Linked DNA regions of Coturnix japonica. The protein of the gene in region 2 purifies or fractionates together with the protein of the main gene of each other region. This does not show direct contact. Links are inferred from orthologs where the notes say so. Each region holds a gene or a part of one and is shown on either strand. Other genes may lie near its edges. The genes, in order: NOA1 and MRPS27.

The links.
Region 1: the proteins of MRPS27 (region 2) and NOA1 purify together in Homo sapiens (co-immunoprecipitation; 3 studies listed by BioGRID and IntAct, counting the BioPlex papers as one, with this or other methods). This does not show direct contact. The link is inferred for Coturnix japonica from reciprocal best matches to the Homo sapiens genes MRPS27 and NOA1.

What each region holds. Positions count from the first base shown.
Region 1 is NC_029519.1:43,874,879-43,884,489, reverse strand, and holds NOA1 (nitric oxide-associated protein 1), read right to left. Parts: upstream 4,788-9,611; coding exon 3,659-4,787; intron 3,266-3,658; coding exon 3,101-3,265; intron 2,725-3,100; coding exon 2,531-2,724; intron 1,829-2,530; coding exon 1,697-1,828; intron 1,316-1,696; coding exon 1,199-1,315; intron 835-1,198; coding exon 717-834; intron 633-716; coding exon 427-632; downstream 1-426. Other genes in the region: POLR2B (DNA-directed RNA polymerase II subunit RPB2), read left to right, coding at 4,786-4,804, 4,910-4,982, 6,154-6,304, 8,928-9,040, 9,229-9,448. UniProt on the Homo sapiens protein: Involved in regulation of mitochondrial protein translation and respiration. Plays a role in mitochondria-mediated cell death. May act as a scaffolding protein or stabilizer of respiratory chain supercomplexes. Binds GTP.
Region 2 is NC_029547.1:23,076,874-23,086,383, reverse strand, and holds part of MRPS27 (28S ribosomal protein S27, mitochondrial), read right to left. Parts: intron 9,048-9,510; coding exon 8,905-9,047; intron 6,248-8,904; coding exon 6,092-6,247; intron 2,076-6,091; coding exon 1,836-2,075; 3' UTR 1,811-1,835; exon of another isoform or gene 1,680-1,810; intron 506-1,679; 3' UTR 1-505. UniProt on the Homo sapiens protein: RNA-binding component of the mitochondrial small ribosomal subunit (mt-SSU) that plays a role in mitochondrial protein synthesis. Stimulates mitochondrial mRNA translation of subunit components of the mitochondrial electron transport chain.

The DNA.
Region 1 (9,611 bases), on a different chromosome or scaffold from region 2:
CTCCTGCTTTAGAAACAACATAAAGGCTCCAAGAACCAGGTGATGGTTTCTGACCTGTGAGAGCACGTCTGCTAGAAAATACCTACTCTCTGAGCAGCAAAGTCAGCAAAGGGCAGGCAGATGAGCTTCCATGCTGTATTTCAAGAGGAAAATGATAATGAGGGTTGCTCCCTGACACTGCCTGATCCCAGGGAAAAAAAACATTTCACCTCAGAGAACAAGGTACGAGCCATCCAGCTCACCTGAACTAGCTGCAGCTCAGTAGTTGTGTTAGACTTGTGGTGCCCTACATCAGATTTACCTCACATGGACCTCCCTTGAAACCGTGCCTGTCTGCCTTTTAGATGAGTCTAAGCTCTTCTGAACGTCAACAGAAGAATCTGTTCTGAAGTTCTGAATCCTATCTCACTCAGACGATGGTGAGTGCTATCTGTTCCGCACAGCTTTCAGGTTTTCTACGAGGGAAGGAGGCTTTTTGGTTCTGTAGGCAGCAGTACCTGGGATCCGGGCCCCTCTGATGCTACTGATATATGGTAAAAGGGGAGGCTCCCGTACCACCACTGTGGTGCCCCTGGGTGTATAGGCTCGGAGCAACAGTTCCTCTTCTGCATGAGCTGTCACCGCCACCCAGCCTGCAGAGCAAAGAAAGAAACAGTCAGTAGGAAGAGTTGCTCATATGAAAACAAGGGTTCTCACACAAAGAAACATTAAATTACCTGCAGAGGAAAGTTTGATATCTGCGACTGCCTCAGCAGTACCAGTTCCTTTCAGTGTAATGTCCTGAGGGACAAGTGGGGGGAACTCTTTCATTCGCTCTTTCCCACCCATTGGAACCTAATGTCAAAACAATAAAAGATTTAACAGCTAAGAGATGCTTCAGTACTCTTACGTTAAACTGAAGAGCAATGCACAAGCAGGAACAGAGAAATTAAACTTCTATTATCTAAGTAAGAGCTAGTTTGAATATCCTTACAGAAGCTACTTCGGACTTGCAAAGAGCAGAACTGGGATCACATCCAGAACAACCCAGCCCAATGAAGCCCACAGCTCAGGAGTGAGCAAAGATGGAGCATCTGCTACATAGGCCAGCTGTTGGCCCAAGCCAGCCTCCTTACTGTGGGTTACAGCACTTGTATGTATGCTCAATGTGTGCAAGGCTGCAGCCAAGACAAGGACAGCTTGCACATACTTCTCTTACCTTAAAGAACTCCTGCCCAGCATGCTTCTCATACATGGCATCTGCACTGCTCAAGGTAGCAACGTGGACTGGCAACATCCTAGAAGCCACAACAGAAAACCAGGCAGGTTTTTCTCCCTGAAACAAAACAAAGCATGTGTTGTTCATGCTAACAGAAAAGTAACCCCTAACTGCTCTCTCTTGCTTCATTTCCTTGCTGTATGTTGAAATCTTGTCTTTTACTGGCGTCCTTGCCTCTGCATGTCATGGGAAGCCCTTCAAGGCGAAGGTGTTTATTGGCATTTAATAGCACTGATGGTTTTATAATACAAAATACTGCACACTGATAACAAGTATCACCACTCTCCATCCCAAGGCATTTTTACTTTATGTGGTGCTTTATTAACAAACTTATCTTGAAAGCTGCAGTGAAAGGAGGTGGAGAAGCTACCTGGACTATCTTTTATTGTTTGGTCCTATACCAGAAGATGAAGCTGCTGCAATCCTGTTTTTTCCTACCTGTAAGTAGTCTACGCGTCCTAAAGCTGCTAAAAACAAGACCATTCCTGGCTTGAGAATGAAGGTCCGTGGAATGATGGCTTGTGTTGGCAAAACCTGCTTTACTTCTTTCTCTGTCAGGAGATTCAAAACCTGAAACATAAATTGTGCAGTCAGGACACACTGTTTTCTGTGATTATTCAACTTCAGAAGAAGGAAGATCACGCTCTGTCTCCAGTAAGAGCTCTAAGCCCCTGGCTACCTTCACATCAGACACTAAGTAGTTATTAGAGGGCAAACTAACACAAAGTGGGTTGGAGATGATCTGGCAGGCATCTACTAGGAAAGTTCTGACACCACTGCTGGTTTTCTATCTCCTAGTACCTTTTAATTTCTCCCAAAAGATGACCTGTGGCTCCACAAAGATATCAGTGTGATGGAAAAAACCCACAATATGACATTTTAGGACATATGCACTATATAAGCACCGGCTTCAGCATCATTGCTCTACTGAAACACTGAAGTAGGCTGTTAACTGTTATTAGCTATTAACACTGCAGATCCTTCTGGCTTCATGAGAATGCTTCGGGTCTTTCCCAAAGCTTTGGTTTGGTCACACAATACTAGTTTATCCTCCTAAGCTCCACCTTTTTCAGTAGGGTGGCAGAGTTAAAGAAGCATAGATTTCTCTGGGTGATACTGATATGAAATTGTTTTAACAGTATTGTACTTCATTAGAAAGTGGGTTGACACACAGTTCCTTCACAAAGATCACAGCATGCACCATTCAGAAACACAACAGCAGAAACACGATGGACTTTGACCTCCTGAAGCACAATGCCACAGAGTACCTACACAGTTTTCCTTTACAATCCCTGGAGTATCAAAACACCAGCGAGCATCCTTCACTTCATTGTATGTGAACTCTTGTCTTTCCTCATTCTTCTTAGGGATATGGCATGGATCTTCATCTATGCTGTACGACAGCATGTCAGGGTCAAAATCAATCACAGAGCTCTCCCGACGTTTAAATGTTCTTCCAACTCTTCCTGGATTGAAATGAAAGGTTTCCTGTTCATTCATTTATTAACCTGCATTTCCTCCAGTTGGACACCTCTCCCTTCCCTTGATTAATAGGGATGCACAACTATGATAGAAATGTGATAAAAATGTCACGTGCATGTTTAAAAGCCAAGATGCCAACAGATCCCTTCTGTAATTCCTGCTTAGCACTCCTTAAGCCCCAAAACCTCAGCAAGGACCATATACAGACAGCATATTTCTTACTGAGTTCTTACAGAATGGGTAGAAATTGCCTGCCAAAACCAGATGTATTCATCAGAAAATTAAGAGGTTAACAATCCTTTGTGTAATGCAGCATTTCCATTGGGACGTTCCATCACGTTTTACACAGACAATACTCACCCACTAAGTAACCTTGCTTTTTAAGGCGATTCAGGTGCTTTTTTTCCTCATCGCTTAGCTGATCTTCTGTTTTTTGTGCCTCTTCTTTCAGCCTCTCCTGCCTCCTGAATATCCTGTCGCACGTAGGGTTGATAATTGGAAATTTCAACAAGTTCAGTGTTGTTCCTGGAAGAAGAAGGAGGAGAAAGCAAAAAGGGTGACACATCCAGACCTCTGGGATACCTGGATATCCAGACTCATACTTAAGCTCTGAGGTACATGAATAAAAAAGTACTTGGAGCCATCTAACAAAGCTGGAGGTGGAACTAAGCATCAACACCTGCTCTGCTTAAGTCTCCCTCCTAGGCAGAGTGGCTGGAGTGTGTTACCATCCACTTGGTACCTGCTCTCTTGTTGAAAGGCTTCTCAGACACTCTCACTAATTAAAATCATGCTGATGCTGGTACAGTCGTGGGTCATCTGAGCTGATTTTAGGGAGGTCGATCAGACACTTTAGCAGCAAAGCCTTGTGACCTTAGCACCCGAGTGCGATATGGGGATGCTGGTAGTGCCCCTCACCTGGCCAGGATGAGACGGTGGCCCTACTAACCACGTCGGGAGCTCGTGACTTGCAGTAGTCGGATTGCAGCAGGGCATTGAAGAGCGTCGACTTGCCCGAGTTGGTGGCCCCCAGCAGGTAGACATCACCGGCGCACTTCCAGGAGCGCTGCAGCCGGCTGACCAGCCCCTCCATCCCGAAGCCCGTTTTGGCACTCACCAGCCGTACATCCACTAATTGCTCCCGGGCGATGCCGGCCTGCAGACAGGCGGCCGTCACTCTCTGCCGCAGCCGCCCCAGGTGCCCGGGGGAGTCGGCCGGCAGCAGATCCACCTTGTTGCCCACCACCAGCAGCCCCGCTGCGGGCACGTCGGGGCTGAGCAGCGCGGGCAGCTGCGGTAACACGGGGTCGGGCAGCTCCAACACATCCAGCGTGTAGAGCAGCAGCGGGCCCCTGCCGTGCCGCGGCGGGCTGCGGAGCGCGTCGCTCAGCACGGCGCGGTGCTGCTCGGCCGGCAGCTCCAGCCGCACTAAGCGGCCGCCGTGCGCCATCACCCAGCACCGCTGGCACACGGCATCGCGCAGCCCGGCCGCTCCGCCCGGCCCCGAGCACAGGCTGCGGTACTTGTCGGCCGGCACGAAGCCCGGCGCCGCGGTATCGCGGCACTGCAGCTCGGCCCCGCAGCCCGAGCAGCCCACTCCGCTCGGCGGCACGGACGGGTCGGCCTCCCCCAGCAGCCGCTCCCTGCCCGCCCGCCTCCGCGCGGCAGCTCTGCCCGTCGGCGAAGCGGCGGGTGGTGCCGGTGGTGGTGGCAGTGGTGTTGGTGGTGATGGTGGCTCTGGCTCCGGCTCATACTCGAGGAATACGAAGCGCTCCTCCTCGCCGCCCAACGCCTTCCATCGCCTCGCCGCCCATGGCCGTGCTGGCCGCAGCCGGCCCAGCAGCGCCCGGCCCAGCTGCAGCATGACGGGCAGCGTGAGCAGCCCGCAGGAAGGGGCAGGGCGAGGCTCACCCCGCGCATGTGCGCTGCTCCCCGTTCCCGCCGCCCTCCTTCCTGTGGCCGCCGCTCGGCGGGCGCTCGGTGCCGGATTCTCGGCTTCTTTCTCTCCCGTCCCGGCCGGTCGCGGCTCCCTCCTCGCTGCCGCCATGTACGACGCGGATGAAGGTGAGTGAGGCCGCGCCGGCCGCCTCCCGCCGGGCCGCTCCCCCGCTTCTATGGGCGGCCCCGTAGTGGCGGCCTTGGCCTGACCCGCTCCCTCTTCCCCTGTAGATATGCAATATGATGAGGACGACGACGAGATCACCCCCGACCTGTGGCAGGAGGCGTGCTGGATCGTCATCAGGTGATGCTCTCGTTGTGCTGCTGCTGGTGGGACGGGTGCACGGAGGCCTCGGGCTTTGCGACTAGGCCGGGCCGCGTGGTTCGGCTTTTAGGGAGCGGAGCTGCGCTCAGCTGGGCTGTGGGGCCCTTGTTTGGTTTGGCAGGGCTTACAGACATAGGGCAGCTGGTTGATGAACCTCGTGAGGTCCAGCAAAAACAAGGTACAAGGTCTTGCACCTGGGTTGTGGCAACACCCGCTACCAGTACCAGCTGGGAGCAGGTGGATGGCAAGATGGACTTGAGACAGCAGTGTGCCTTGGCAGCCGAGAAAGCCAGCTGTACATAAGTACTATTACAGTAAGAGCGATGAGGCACCAAAACAAGTTGCCTAGGGAAGTGGTGGAAGTCCTGTCCCTGAAGTCATTCAAGGGGCTCTGAGCACCATAGGTGTCCTTGTTTCTTTTAGGAGAGTTGGACTGTCTGACCTTTAAGGGTCCCTTCCAACTCAAACGTTTATGTGTTTCTACTGCACTGGCACAGGCTGCTCAGGGAGGTGGTGTAGTCAGTCACTGGAGATGTGGTGCTGAGGGACACGATTGGTGGGGATGGGTAGGAGGTTGGACTAGTTTTCCCAGCAGAACACCAACAGCCAGGCCCTGTGGCTCCTCATGCTGTTAAGAAGCGCACATTGTAAGCAAAAAGTGTTTTTCTTTTGAACAGGAGCCTTTCCCTATGTGCAGTGGGGATAGAGAACAGCAAAGCCAAGGTAGCGTGAGATCTCCAGGTGCCTTCAGGGCTGTGTGGCACACAGCCCATGTCTTCAGGTCATCCTGTTAACAATGAGAGTGCAGGGCTTGGAATGTTGGCTTTGGTTTCATGACTGGGTTGTGGTGTTGGGTTATGTCTGGGCCACACAAAAGCTAGAGGAATTTAAGATAGAGTGCGTACACGGCTCAGCCAGGAGGTGGCAGCAGGTCTGTCACTTTGCAGTCTGCCTTCAAACACCGATGAGAGTTGAGTTTAACATTTCTGAGCATCTGTGTACACAACCCGTGTCTCAGGCAAAAAGTATTTTCTACTGTATTTCAGAGCTTTTCAAGATTTTGTAATGAATTTACCTTAAGCTTGCTGACAAAATACATCACTTAAATTAAGTTATCTTGTTAATGTGTTTTGTTTTGTTTTTCCTTTAGCTCCTATTTTGATGAAAAAGGTTTAGTCAGGCAACAGCTGGATTCTTTTGATGAGTTTATTCAGATGTCTGTGCAGAGAATTGTTGAAGATGCTCCACCGATTGATTTACAGGCAGAAGCCCAGCATGCCACAGGAGAAGTGGAAGAACCGGTAAGTGGAGGCAAAGGGGTTTCATAAGCAAAATGAGTAGGTGGTACCTTGAGTAGGTGGGTTTCATTCGGTCTGTGTCTGGAGAGACTGAAGTACATCTGAGTTGGGACACAGCCGGGAGGATGGAAGTGTAAACTGCTTGGATTCTATAAGGCAACTGTGCAACTGCTGAGGATGGGAGCAGGCCTCATCGACAGGGATTTAGTGGAGCAAGCAAGCTAGCCATAATAAAACCGTGCTTTGCTGGGATTTTTGGTTCTTGGTAGCTTTACTATGGCAGAAAAGGCTTAAGACTAAAAAGGCTTTTGTTAGGTCTGGGTTTTCTAGTAGTGCCCTTACTTATCATCTTCCATTGGTACCATGTTCCACATTATCTAAGGTCTTTGTGAGGACTTATGAAGTGTGTGAGGGTACAGTACATGTTCTGCATTGGTTGTGGTGCTTCTGCTGTTCACTGTGGTGTCTCCCATATGGTGCGGTCCTGTGTATGTCAACAGCGATGATCCAGTTACTCAAGTTTCTGCTTCCCTTTTGAGCTTTAAGGGAACTTTAGGAATTCTGAGAGTCAAATCTGTTATGTTTTGACTGTTCCTTTCCATTTTTTGTGCGTGCATGCATTGTTTAGAGAGAGTAACAGATTTCTTTTAGTTCCTGAGTTTGTCATAGGGCTCATTCTTGGGTAGATGAACACTCATAAATGTTTGTAATTCCTCTTAATATTTCCTCTGTTGCTCTGTGTATATTATATCTATATTCCCTAGCTGTGCAGTTCTGCAGATGCTGTATGAGCTGTATGCAGTTAAGTGTGGATCTCCAGCATATATGTGTTTAACTTTGCCCAAGACATAGTATTTGACTTGAGGGTAGGTTTCTTGCTCTTATTTATCCAATTGAAGTTTTAAGAGTATGGCCTAGATATGAGAAAAAGAAAACTTGGTTTTTCCTTCAGTTTTACTTGTTGGCAATCTCTTGTCTAATGGGAGAATGCAGGATTTAATTAAGGAGGCTGAGTATGATTGGACTAATCCGAGGTGACTTGTTTCTCCCTCCTTCCATGTTCAGCTTTGCATTTTGAGGGCAGCTAGGACAGTATGTTTTATAGCACACTAAAGTGTTTTTACAGCCGTGCTGAGAGATGGGAATTACAGTAAATGTGTGTTCTACGTGCTTACATGAGAACCTGTGAAAGTTATTTCACGCAGCTACTGCTGCAAATGAAGGAGAAAGGTGTTTCTTTGGGTGAGAATTGAGAGCTAGCTGTGCTAGAGCTTTGGTGTTGTACTACAGTAGTCCTAATGGCTCGGATACAGTTAGATAACTGCATGGAGCTCAAGTTTTGCTTTAGTTATAGATATTCACAGCTGGCTTCTAGATGGTGGGGTGGCAGCACTACTGTTCTTTGTTTGGGTTAGTTTCTGTTCTGCAAGCAGTCACAGTGTGAAACAGGAACTCAAAAGAAAGGCTTTCAAGGCAGTGGGTCTTTCAACTTGTTCATGTGCCGGTCGAGTGACTGGCTTATGTTTCTATACCCTTGGATTTTAGTTGGTGAAGGAATGCTTTGGGGACAGCAGCTCTAAACTCTCATTGCAGTGGGAATACGGACTCGCACCTTTTTAAGGTGTCAGTTGTCTCATTGTTTGTGTTGGAGTAAATTTGCCTCTTTATCTTATGCTCAATCAGTTTTATCTAAAGCTATGTCAGCAATAAATATATATATACTGGGCAAATGCTGTTTATTAATGTACTCACTCTGACTTAGTAGATTCTGAGTTGACTGACTTCATAGATTTTGACCTCATTGCAGCCTTTCAATACCTGAAGGGAACTTACTCCCAGGAGGGGAGTAAACTCTTTGAAAGGGCTGACAATAGCAGGACGTGGGGAAATGGTTTTAAGTTAAAAGAGGGAAGATTTAGGTTGGATGTTAGGGGGAAGTTCTTCACTAGGAGAGTGGTTAGGCCCTGGAACAGGCTGCCCAGGGAGGTTGTGGATGCCCCGTCCTTGGAGGTGTTCAAGACCAGGTTGGACGGGGCCCTGGGCAACCTGATCTAGTAAAGGTGTATGTTTGGTGGCCCTGCCAGGCAGGGGGGTTGGAACTACATGATCCTTGAGGTCCCTTCCAACCCGGGTCATTCTGTGATTCTGTGAGTTAATTAGCTGTTTTACAGGAAGACAACGTTATTTGGGTACCTTATACCCTATTATGGGTACCTTAACTCTTACCAATGGTTTTGACTTTTCAGTTACCTCTGTGTGTTTCTTTTTCCTTTAATGAGGTGTCTAGAAGTTATTGAAGGTTCTTGAATGTTTGGCACTGGAACAGGTTGCCCAGAGATGTGGCCGAGATTTTCAAGGCGAGATTGTATCAGGCCCTGGGCAGCTTGATATAGCTGTGCTGTCCCTGCCCATTGCAGGAGAGTTGGACTAGATGGCCTTTAAATGTCCTTTCCAACTCTGAGGATTGATTCTATGATGTGCTCAGCTAGCCAACAGAATAGGGATTGTTTCTACACCCTGAGTGTGAGGACATGCAGCAGCGTTGGGTATTAAGCTCAAGGGCTGCACTTGAATAACTAAGATAGATGGTTTGGCCATTGCAGATAAATGTCTGCTTGTTTTCCAGCCCCGGTATCTCCTGAAGTTTGAACAAATCTATCTCTCCAAACCTACGCATTGGGAAAGAGATGGAGCACCGTCACCTATGATGCCCAATGAGGCCAGGCTGAGAAACCTGACGTAAGAAACATCTCTGCGATGGTTAAAACACGAGGAAGGACTGGCTCTATGTTATTAACTGCTAGTCTTTTTGTTATTTAGTCATTTTGACAATGTAATCATTACTGCTCTTATTACTATTTCTAATTGTTAAATCCCAATGATTTGATAATAATGATCAATATTTGTCTTTTTTGTTTCTTCTGTAGGTATTCAGCCCCCTTGTACGTGGATATAACTAAAACAGTTATTAAAGAAGGGGAAGATCAGCTACAGACACAACATCAGAAAACTTTTATAGGAAAAATTCCTATAATGTTACGATCAACGTACTGTTTGTTAAATGGCTTAACTGACCGTGATCTTTGTGAACTGAACGAATGCCCTCTGGATCCGGGTGGCTATTTTATCATTAATGGATCAGAAAAGGTAACTATGCTTCACATAGTTGTCTTTACAGGCACTGGAAATCCTGTTACTTATTTCCAATTCTTTTGCCAGGAAGACAAACATTTTCAGTACTGCAGGCAGTCCTAGTCTTGGAGAAGGATTAACTTAGTCCTTTGCTAGAACTTTGTGAACCACCTTTTCT
Region 2 (9,510 bases):
GTGTGGGAAGTGATGCATGCTCTGTGAGATAGCAGGGATGTGGCAGCTGGCTGCCTGCTGGAGCCTGATGAGCATTAGCAGCCTGGCATGTCCACCCAGCAGGGGAGGAGCACAGAGATGGGGCCAGAAACAGGCTCTGCATGCTGCCAAGGAAGAGATGCCAGCAAGCGGCTAGAAGCATGGCAGTGTCCACTGTGGCCTACCCAGATAGTATCTCATAGGCATGGGAACAACAGCTGGGATGGCTGGGGCCACACAGCAGACCCTCCATGCCTTAAAAATGTAGTGGAGGAAGAGTTGGCTCTTGTATCAAGAAGTCAAGAACAAAACTGGATGGTACAAGATCAATTGTGAACCTTTGGAAGTACAACCCATGTTCCCGTGCTGAAAAACTGAACACAGGCACAGGAAGGACACTTCAGTAGCCACCAGTTTTAACCAAATTGTTCTTAGAAGTGTGTTTGGCCTCCCACTCTTCCTTAAGGCTAGAAAGCATCAGGAGGACCTAAGAGGAAAAAAAAAAAGCTTCAGAAGAATTGATAAAAATTGCCTGTAAAGGCTACCGCTGTATTAGTCATGCCCAAACACAAAAATAACCTTTCACCTGGAGAGCACTACAGGAGAGACCACAGAATTGCTGACCTAAAGGGCAAAGGACCCTACTGTCATGTTCTTAGATGTGAAAGCAATCAAGTTGTGAGTGTACTCACAGGGAACAGGCAAAGCATTTGGTGAATGCCAGTAAGATGCCTAACTACAAATAAGTTCAGAGAACTGCAGCATGTTCTATTCTCAAAGGATTTAGTCAGTGTGTGATGTGAGATTTAGAGCTTTAAGGCTAGACAGGTGCATGATAAAACTGGAAATACTTCCCAGATACTGTGGAAGAGCATACTGAGGCATCACTGTTAACACAACAAGGTGCCATACAGAAAGGCTGTTGTCAGGGTCTCCCTCTGTTTAAGGAGCTTGCCCTGCAAGAAGCTGCAGAAAATTGTCTCTTGATCAGCTTCTGTGGCAACAGGGAATGTAAGAACCCACCTTCTCTCTCTTGACATTTTCTTTTGCTCTGTATGAATAGCTAAATCATTTTCACAATCCATATAATAGGCTATGGGATTATGTATGCAGCTAAGGCAAAAATGGGATTAGGTCAAAATAGAACCATGAAACAGTGCCCAGAATATAAAAGGAAATGCAGTGCAGAACGAGGCCCCTTTGCTGAGGTGATTGTGCCTATTTCTCTATTGACCTGAAAAGTGGAGCAGTTAGTGAATTTGGAAATTTCTCAGTTTCTTACAGGGAAGCATTTTCATAGGCACATCTAAGTGCCTTTGCAAGTGCTAACTCCCTGGTTCAAAAACAGTCTAAAGTAGGCTTACAGTTCTGTGTAGACTAGCCCAAATTTTCCAAGTGGGCAGGAAAAGAAAGCAGTCAACATACGTTAATCCTCTTAGTGGCTAAGTTCAGAGTGACCCAGGCATTCTTTTCTGTGAGAAACTCACACTGAAACGACTTGTGTATGAAATTTCTCCCTCTTCTTTTGTTTCTTCCACCCTCTACAACTTTCACCACAGGCAATGCCTTTGTTTCTTTGTATTATCTCCATACCACCCCCCCCATCTGGCTGCCAACCAGAGGAAAATATATCATAAACACGATAATTTCTAAACCACAAGTGCTTTTGCTTCAGGAAGCAGGAAAATGGAAATAGATTTATTTGCATGTAGTAGTCACATACAGTCATATTTGCAGCAGTAATTAAGTGAAATATTAATAGTGAACAGTTCACACACAGAGGAATGCATACCATTATGGCAGACTGAATTCCAGTATTAAGCAGATGCCTTAGCTAGCTTCCTAGCTTCCAGTTCCTGCTTAGCTTTTTCTCTCATTTCTCTTTCTCTCTCAATGAGAAGTGCTTGTTCTTGCTCCCACTCCTTTAGCTTCTGCTCATACTTTGCGATGTCCTCCACTTCACACGCTGGCAGCTTTTCCTTGACGAGCTGGGTGGTCAGGGTTAACAGGCTTTCAGATTCAACCTTGCCAAGTGAATGCAGCTTAGAGTACAGATCCTGCCACAGAATGAAGGATTTGATGGGGACAGAGAAGGAGAGAGACAATCAGTCACAAAATAATCAGTGACAAAGCTTACTTCCCTGTAACAACCAATTCATAGATGATTGAATCTAATGACTAGCTGTGTTGATCCAGGCTGGCCATTCTGTCCTAGCTAAGGATTTTGACTGTGATAGCAGGTATTACTGCTTCCCCTTGAAATGCTAACCTCCAGAGAAAGTTTTTCTGAGCAATAAAACTGAAACAAGAAAGAGCCCTAACTTACTGAAATTCTCCTTATTTTTCCAAGTGTAGTCACCTGCTGTAAACAAAGATCAGCTGACCGGTCAATTGTGAAAAGACAATTTAAGCACCTTTTTTTGTGTCTTAACTCAAAGCTGACTGACTGATGTGCTCCCCACTGCCTGCATTAGCATCACTCTCCACAGATGCAAATCACTTTAAATGCTTGCTGACTAGTAGCATGCTAAGTAGCTTCCATCTTTTTTTTGCCAACAGTTACTGTGATCTGAGGTTTGACTGTGTTTACTCACACTAAATGCAATAGACCTAAAGCAAGTAATATTTATTCAGGTATATTTTACAATGTAACAAAAAAATATAGCTTCACAAAGAAACTGCAATACTTCTTTCTGTGCTTTACTTACTTAGAGCTCATGCAGCATAAACATATTAATTCACTTAAGACAATGAGTCATCGAGTGATACTGCTTCTGGCTTTATGGAATATTTGGCCCAATGGCTCTCTAACAAGCTGATTAATTGCCTTAAAAGTGCAGCTACACAGACAGCCAGGAAAGAGTTTCCTGGGGGAGGAAGACAACATGGCACTGGCACATTCCTTAACCCTTGCTCATTCATTAGATAGGAACATGTTTTCCTGATTGTTCTTTTAAATAAAATGTTTTACTGAAACAGGCACTTGCTGAAATGTTTAAAGAAAGAAGGTACCCTAAAGGTAGGTACACCCACGTACTTCTTTCATGTGTTCTTTGAATAAACCCCACTGATTTGCACTGAAAGATAACTGAAAGAAGATGGGATAATTAATCATCACACAAAATGGTGACTCCGAGGGCATGATGACATTCAGTTTTCCACTCCCAGTTATCACTGGGAGCTTGCACACTATCACTATGCAGCTGGCCCACAGCGCTGCTCTTACCCAGACTCACTGCATTAATCTGCAGAAGCGCTGCAGCTCAACTCTAGCCTCAAGGTTATGCCTTCTTTTGAAAAGGGAAATTGGAGTGCCTCTTCGGATACCTTTTTACCTCTCCCTGCCTCAGCCAACATAACTACAACAGGTTTGCTGTTCTGTCAGGCCCAGGAAAGTTTGAACATGACCAACAGCAGATAAAAAGCTCTTTTAACAGTATGTGTGCAGGTCTGAGGTGCTTGGGAATTTGGCTCTGTTGCCTTTAATTTTATGACAAAGTTTATAAACAAAAACAACCTGACATTACCAAATTAAAACCAAAATTAGTAACATCTGTTTATTTATTTCTCTTCTGTTTGAGATATGAGTGAATTTACCGTACATCCAGAATAAATACGAAAACAGCATGGTTTGAGTTTGGGAAAGGAACACAATTCCTGATAACTGATACAGAGTCTCCCTACTACCCACTACTAAGGATGTGCTAAAAAGAGTTTGTATGCTAAAACTAAGCAGTATGAAATTGAAATAGAAGAAATGCAATGGACTGGAAACTAGCTGGGCCCCTCTCCTAACCCATTATTGGTACTACAGAACTCTGGAATCTTCTCTGCTCTGCTGTAATACATTAGTGAAACTCATTTAGGAAAGTAGCTATATCCTGCAGGTACCAGAAGGGTACATTCTTAAATGGCAAACTCATTGATTTTTATAAGCAGTCTCCAGGGCTCTGGATGCAGATAGAGAAGGTACATTGCTTTTAAAGAGGGTGCTCTCAGCATTTATATGATTAAATGCTTGCCCACTGATCACTGACACAGATGGAAGGAATTGCCTAAGGAACACTGTACTGAGTAATATGCCTCAGAATACAATATCTGTGAACAGGTAATTACAACATGAATGAGTGTGTCAGACACAAAATCCTAAACTACTGCTCTGAAGGCTTTATCTGGAAATAGCCAAAGGCTCTCAAGTCCTGATTGCTGGGGGCGAGGGGCATTCTGCCTCTCACATATCTGATTTCCTAGACAGGCTGCCACAGCTGTTTCAGAAGTTTGTACTAGACATGAAGTTCAAGACAGTGTAGAAAACCATGCAGACCATGGTGCAAGAACTAGACAAAGTCCAGGTGTTTTTCCTTGCATGTCAAGGTGTACCACTGGATAAGAACTGGACAAACATGAGACAAAAACTATTTTGAGCACCAGGAGAAAGACTGAGACATGCTTGCTAATACATAACTAGACAAAGTGCAACAGTCTTCTCAGCAGCAGAAGTGCAATTTGGTGTTGGGATTAAACAGCATGTGCCAGGACACTGGCAACAAATGCCAGCATCACCAGTTTTTCAACAGAGCAGCCATAACTTTCCTTGTATCTATGTGTATTTTCAGGGTACTTGCACCTCTGTCGTGCCAGCACCCAGGTGGTCAGCTGGGAAAACTGCTGCTGGCTGAATGGATTTGAGAGGGGAGTATAATAACTCTTCCAGACTTAGCAAGAGTGACATTGTGTCTTGGAAGCTAATTTTTCTCATCAAGACAATTGGAAATTACAGCTTCTTATATATAACTTACTGTTGCATACCTATACTTTGCGTAAGTGCTATGCTTTTACTTAGATTTACACTTCTCAGAGACCTTAGAGATAAGGATGAACAAAGTAGTTTGTTGGATTGACATCAGGGCACTCATCTACTACATCACGGAATGCCTAAAATTGAGTTAATTATGGAACTTGAAGAAAGGTTGAAGCAATGAGAAAAATATTCTCTTGGCACCACTCTTCCTCACTGTTTGACATTTAGACATTGTTTTGAGCATTCATCATTAATTTTGTTCAAGGGTAGACAATGGATGGACAATGACAGACACAAAAAAAATGCCTCATTCTTTCCTTCAAAGGACATGTGTATTTACCTAACTCACTGTAATTCATCAAGGCATGAATTATCACATGCTGTCCACTCATTCATTTCAAATACAAAGTCCTACGTGCTTAAGTGTAATATTCAAAGACTTGTGGTAAATAGTCTATATAAATATAAACAGAAGAAGGGAAAAGCAAGTGTTGGTAATGTGAAACCATAGGGTAATCATCTAATTTCTGAAATTTCTTTAGAGCAACTGTCTGTATTCAGAGCTGATCAAGGTCATGACAGCAATAGAGGAAACTGATGGTCTAAGAAGAGAGCATTACACCTGGAACTATAAGCCAGACTAGTTTTAACCCAGGGTACTTGATTTTTACCACAACAGAAATCAGAGATGATAAAATAAAATGGGCTTTTTATATAGCTACCAGATGATAATAAAAAAATACCATATAGCTAGGCTGTAATGTTTGAATTTCATATTGTTCTAACACTGTATCAAGCTAAATATAAAAAGGAAGAAAGATATACTTTATTATCCAGACTGAAAGTACAGGATGCAACTTTTGTACTTAATGTACATAAATGGACAATAAGTTTAGGATGGTCTCATATCTAGTACAATTTATTTTAATAGGCAAGAACCCACTCAAAGTCAGATAATGGATCTCTAATGACATACCACTTTTGCAAACAGCATTTGGATTTATCATTCTGATGTATGAGAAGTGAAGATAAAATCCCAGCAGACAGACAAAAGACAAGTGGCCTTGAGCACTTATTTGTTTGAAGGCTGCTTCCTTTTTGAGTAAGTGAAAATGTAAGGTGACATCAGGTTCAAAAATGCCAGGTGGACTCCTGGTGCACTGGAAGAGTGTCAGTCTAATAGCCATAATTTGTGAAGTTATTTACTTATCTTCTAGTATGTAATAAGGAGATCTACAGCTTAGAATATTTAGATGAACAGAAGTTTCCTACCTTGAATCGGCTGTAGTACTCGGGTACTTTAGACTGCTCCATTTCTTCCGATTCTGTATATTCTGACTTCTGCTCTACTTCTTCGGCTTCTTCAGATGGCTCTGGACCAGGTTTTGCTTCAAGGACAGACCGTAAAACAGTCTCCAGGACATCAACCTGTGCAATCACATTTGTCACTGTTAGAATAAACTGTTTGAAACTGCAATCTGACTAATACCACCGTCAACTTTACAAACAACTTTGTAAGTTGCCATGTAGTTCCAGATAACTACTCTAAATGAAAAATTCTAGAAGCAGTCTCACTCCTTCTTGGAAGAATTCATTTTGGACTTCTAAGTTGGGACATTTTGAAGTCCCTGAAGCAGAACAGCAGGTCTCTGTCAACTCCTTGTGAGTCAGTTGCTGATTGGCACTTGAGAATGTGTCAGGCACTAGGCTAACATCTCCTCTAGGTCTGACACTTGGCTGTAAATACTAATGTTAAACAGTAACCCCCGTGATAGTGTGATACACAATCACAGATACATCTAAATATGAGGTTATTGCAAAACATTCAAGCAATACAGTATTTAATAGATCATCCTGGTTCCTCTTTCGTGAAAGTAAGAGGGAAATCACTTATTCAACAAGATTTATTCCTGTCACGGGCTAGATAATTTAATAGGAAAAATGGAAATGTGGCATGCAACATACTGCTAAAGGTATACTTTTAATCGCTATGACTCCAGTTTTTTTTCATGTTCTCCACCTGGAGTTATCAAGAAAACCACCATCTCCTAACTGAAGTAGCAAAAAAACTCATTTGTATCACTATGGGACTTACTAAATTATTTCCTTATGTATTATTTATACAAACTATGGAATTGCTATATGGATGCTGCTGCTGTTCTGGGAATAACATGATTGTCATAATTTAAATTACTGAATGCAGGCTGACTGCATTTTAAAGTTCAGCCATTAGAAATATAAAGAGCTGTTACCCTTCTGTGAATCTTTATCAGTTGGAAGCAATAACTGTGTAACCTTGGAATCCATGAAACTTACCACAAGCATAATGTCTCTTGGTACCTATGTGGTTTCATTTTTATGGCACAAGCATATGATGCTAAAGAATAAAAATGAGGCTTACTTGAAATAACATTCTTATCACTAAAATGTAATTCATAAACTACCAACACTGAAACAGGATCAAAAATAAAAAAATTAAAAAAATAAAAAAATCAATTAAATTCTAATTATGTGCTTGGAAATACATAAATTCTAATTTTGAGAGTTTCTCAAGCAATCACACGTACTTGTTGCTTGTTCAGTTAAATAGTATAGGACAACACTAAATCAGTGTTTCTATTGTTCTGATAGTAATAGAAACTCTTTCTGCCAAATAGTAATGACAGAGAAAACTTTTTGTTTAGATGACAAAATTTGTTCAACTAGAATATTACATTTTAGAAAATAATCAAGTTTGGAAAAACAGGATTATATCTTTTTCAAGTGACCACTACTGTGCAGGTATGACAGGACAGTGTACAACATGGCCCATACTTATTAGTGCTATGACCTGATACACCAGATGCAGTCCTGTTTCAGCACAAGGATGTTTGCAGATTGCCCAGAAAAGTCTGAGGAGTTCTTTAATTTGTCTAATGTTTGCAAGTGGAAAAAATCATAGATCTATAAGGCTGGGTTCTTCAGGCTTGGATTAAGAAAGAAAACTGCTGAATCACAGCCCCAAAAATAAAATGGTGGGGGTTTCAGATGTTAATGCTTCCTTCCTTGTCTTATCCACTATTATGCAGACCTGATTCTCAGTACAGAGCATGAGTAAAGCCGGCTAATCAGTGACCTGGCCTTTGTACACCAAGGAAAATGCAGACCCTAGTAGTGGTGCAAGTAAAAGGGAGACTGCTATCACCAGGCAGCCCTTCAGGAAGGAACACCAAGAAAGGCTGTTGAGAGCCTCAGTGCTTTTCCTATATAACATCCCATGTGGTTTATTCCACCTAAACCGGCTGGTCCAGGAGCAGCTTGAAGCCTCACAGTGACTGAATCCCAGCACCCCTTAGTTGGAGCTAACCTCACAAAAAGCCCGAATCGCAGAATGGCCCAGGTTGGAAGGAACCCCAGGGATCATGAATCTCCAACCCCCTTGCCAGGAAGGGCCACCAACCTTTCCATTTACTAGACCAGATTGCCCAGGGCCCCATCCAACCTGGCCTTGAACACCTCCAGGGACAGGGCATCCACAACCTTTCTGGGCAGCCTGTTCCAACACCTAACCACTTTCATAATAAAGACCTTACCCCTAACATCCAACCTAAATCTTCCCTCCTCCAACTTAAAACCATTTCCCATTGTCCTGCTGTTAAATCTACCCATCATCCCCATAAGAGCACACTACAACCCTTCTAGAAACCACTCTGAACTGCCTACAGAGCAGTACCATTTAGAACATAAAAACCACCTGAAAGGACATACAGAATTAGCCATGAGAAGCACAAGACATGACGTTTCATCTTCAAGTATGTCTCTGAGGGATCTGGGAAGTACCACAACAGGAACATAAATGGTATGTGGCAACAGCAGATACTCACTCCCAAGGACACGGCAATAGATATAACTGCTAGCTTGCCACCTAAAGCAGTGTCTGTTCTAAACCACCTCTCCTGGATTCCAAAGAGCTGTGAAAAATTGCTGGGTCTGGAAAGGTCGGATATCTTCTCATTAGCAAGGCAAGTAATTTACAAGTTTTACTTGAGTTTGGCATGTACATAATTTCTTGTTTTATGCAGGTAGTATGCAGTTTTCATACTCACAGCTTCTTGGCAGATTTTGCTGTCTCCTGGCAAAGAAGCTACATTCTCCATCACCTGCAATGCTCTATTTAAGTATCCAGGTGTCCACATCAATGGCATTAGGTTGTATACAGCTCTTAGACCTTTATTCAACTCCACTTTCCCTGTGATAAAACAGATAAAACCTTCAGATCAGTACCTGAAAACTCAAGTCCTGAGGAAATCTATAAGAGTTGACACTGTTCTTTGCAACAAAGCAAGTTTCTAGATTTGTCTGGTAAAAACAACACTCTTTTCTGTGAAGCAGCTCTGACAGAATTGTTATTGTTATACTTAAAGTGCCTCCTATTTGCCCAGTTTCAGGACTATCACGTTTGTTTCTTGTTCCTCTCTACTTATATTTTTCCATCACCTGGAAATTTTGTTCACGTGGAAAAGAGGAAAAGTGGAGTAGTTTTCTTGTTGTTTGGCAATTGTAACAGCAGTTCTAAGCAGGATTTCTGAATGTCTCTGACAAACAGTTCCAGAGCCTTCATGGACTTACTGTGCAACATGTGTCCACCAAATCTGAGAGGCTGGACTCCCACATGTGGTTTTAAGGGTTTATTTACACATGTATCAAGGCCA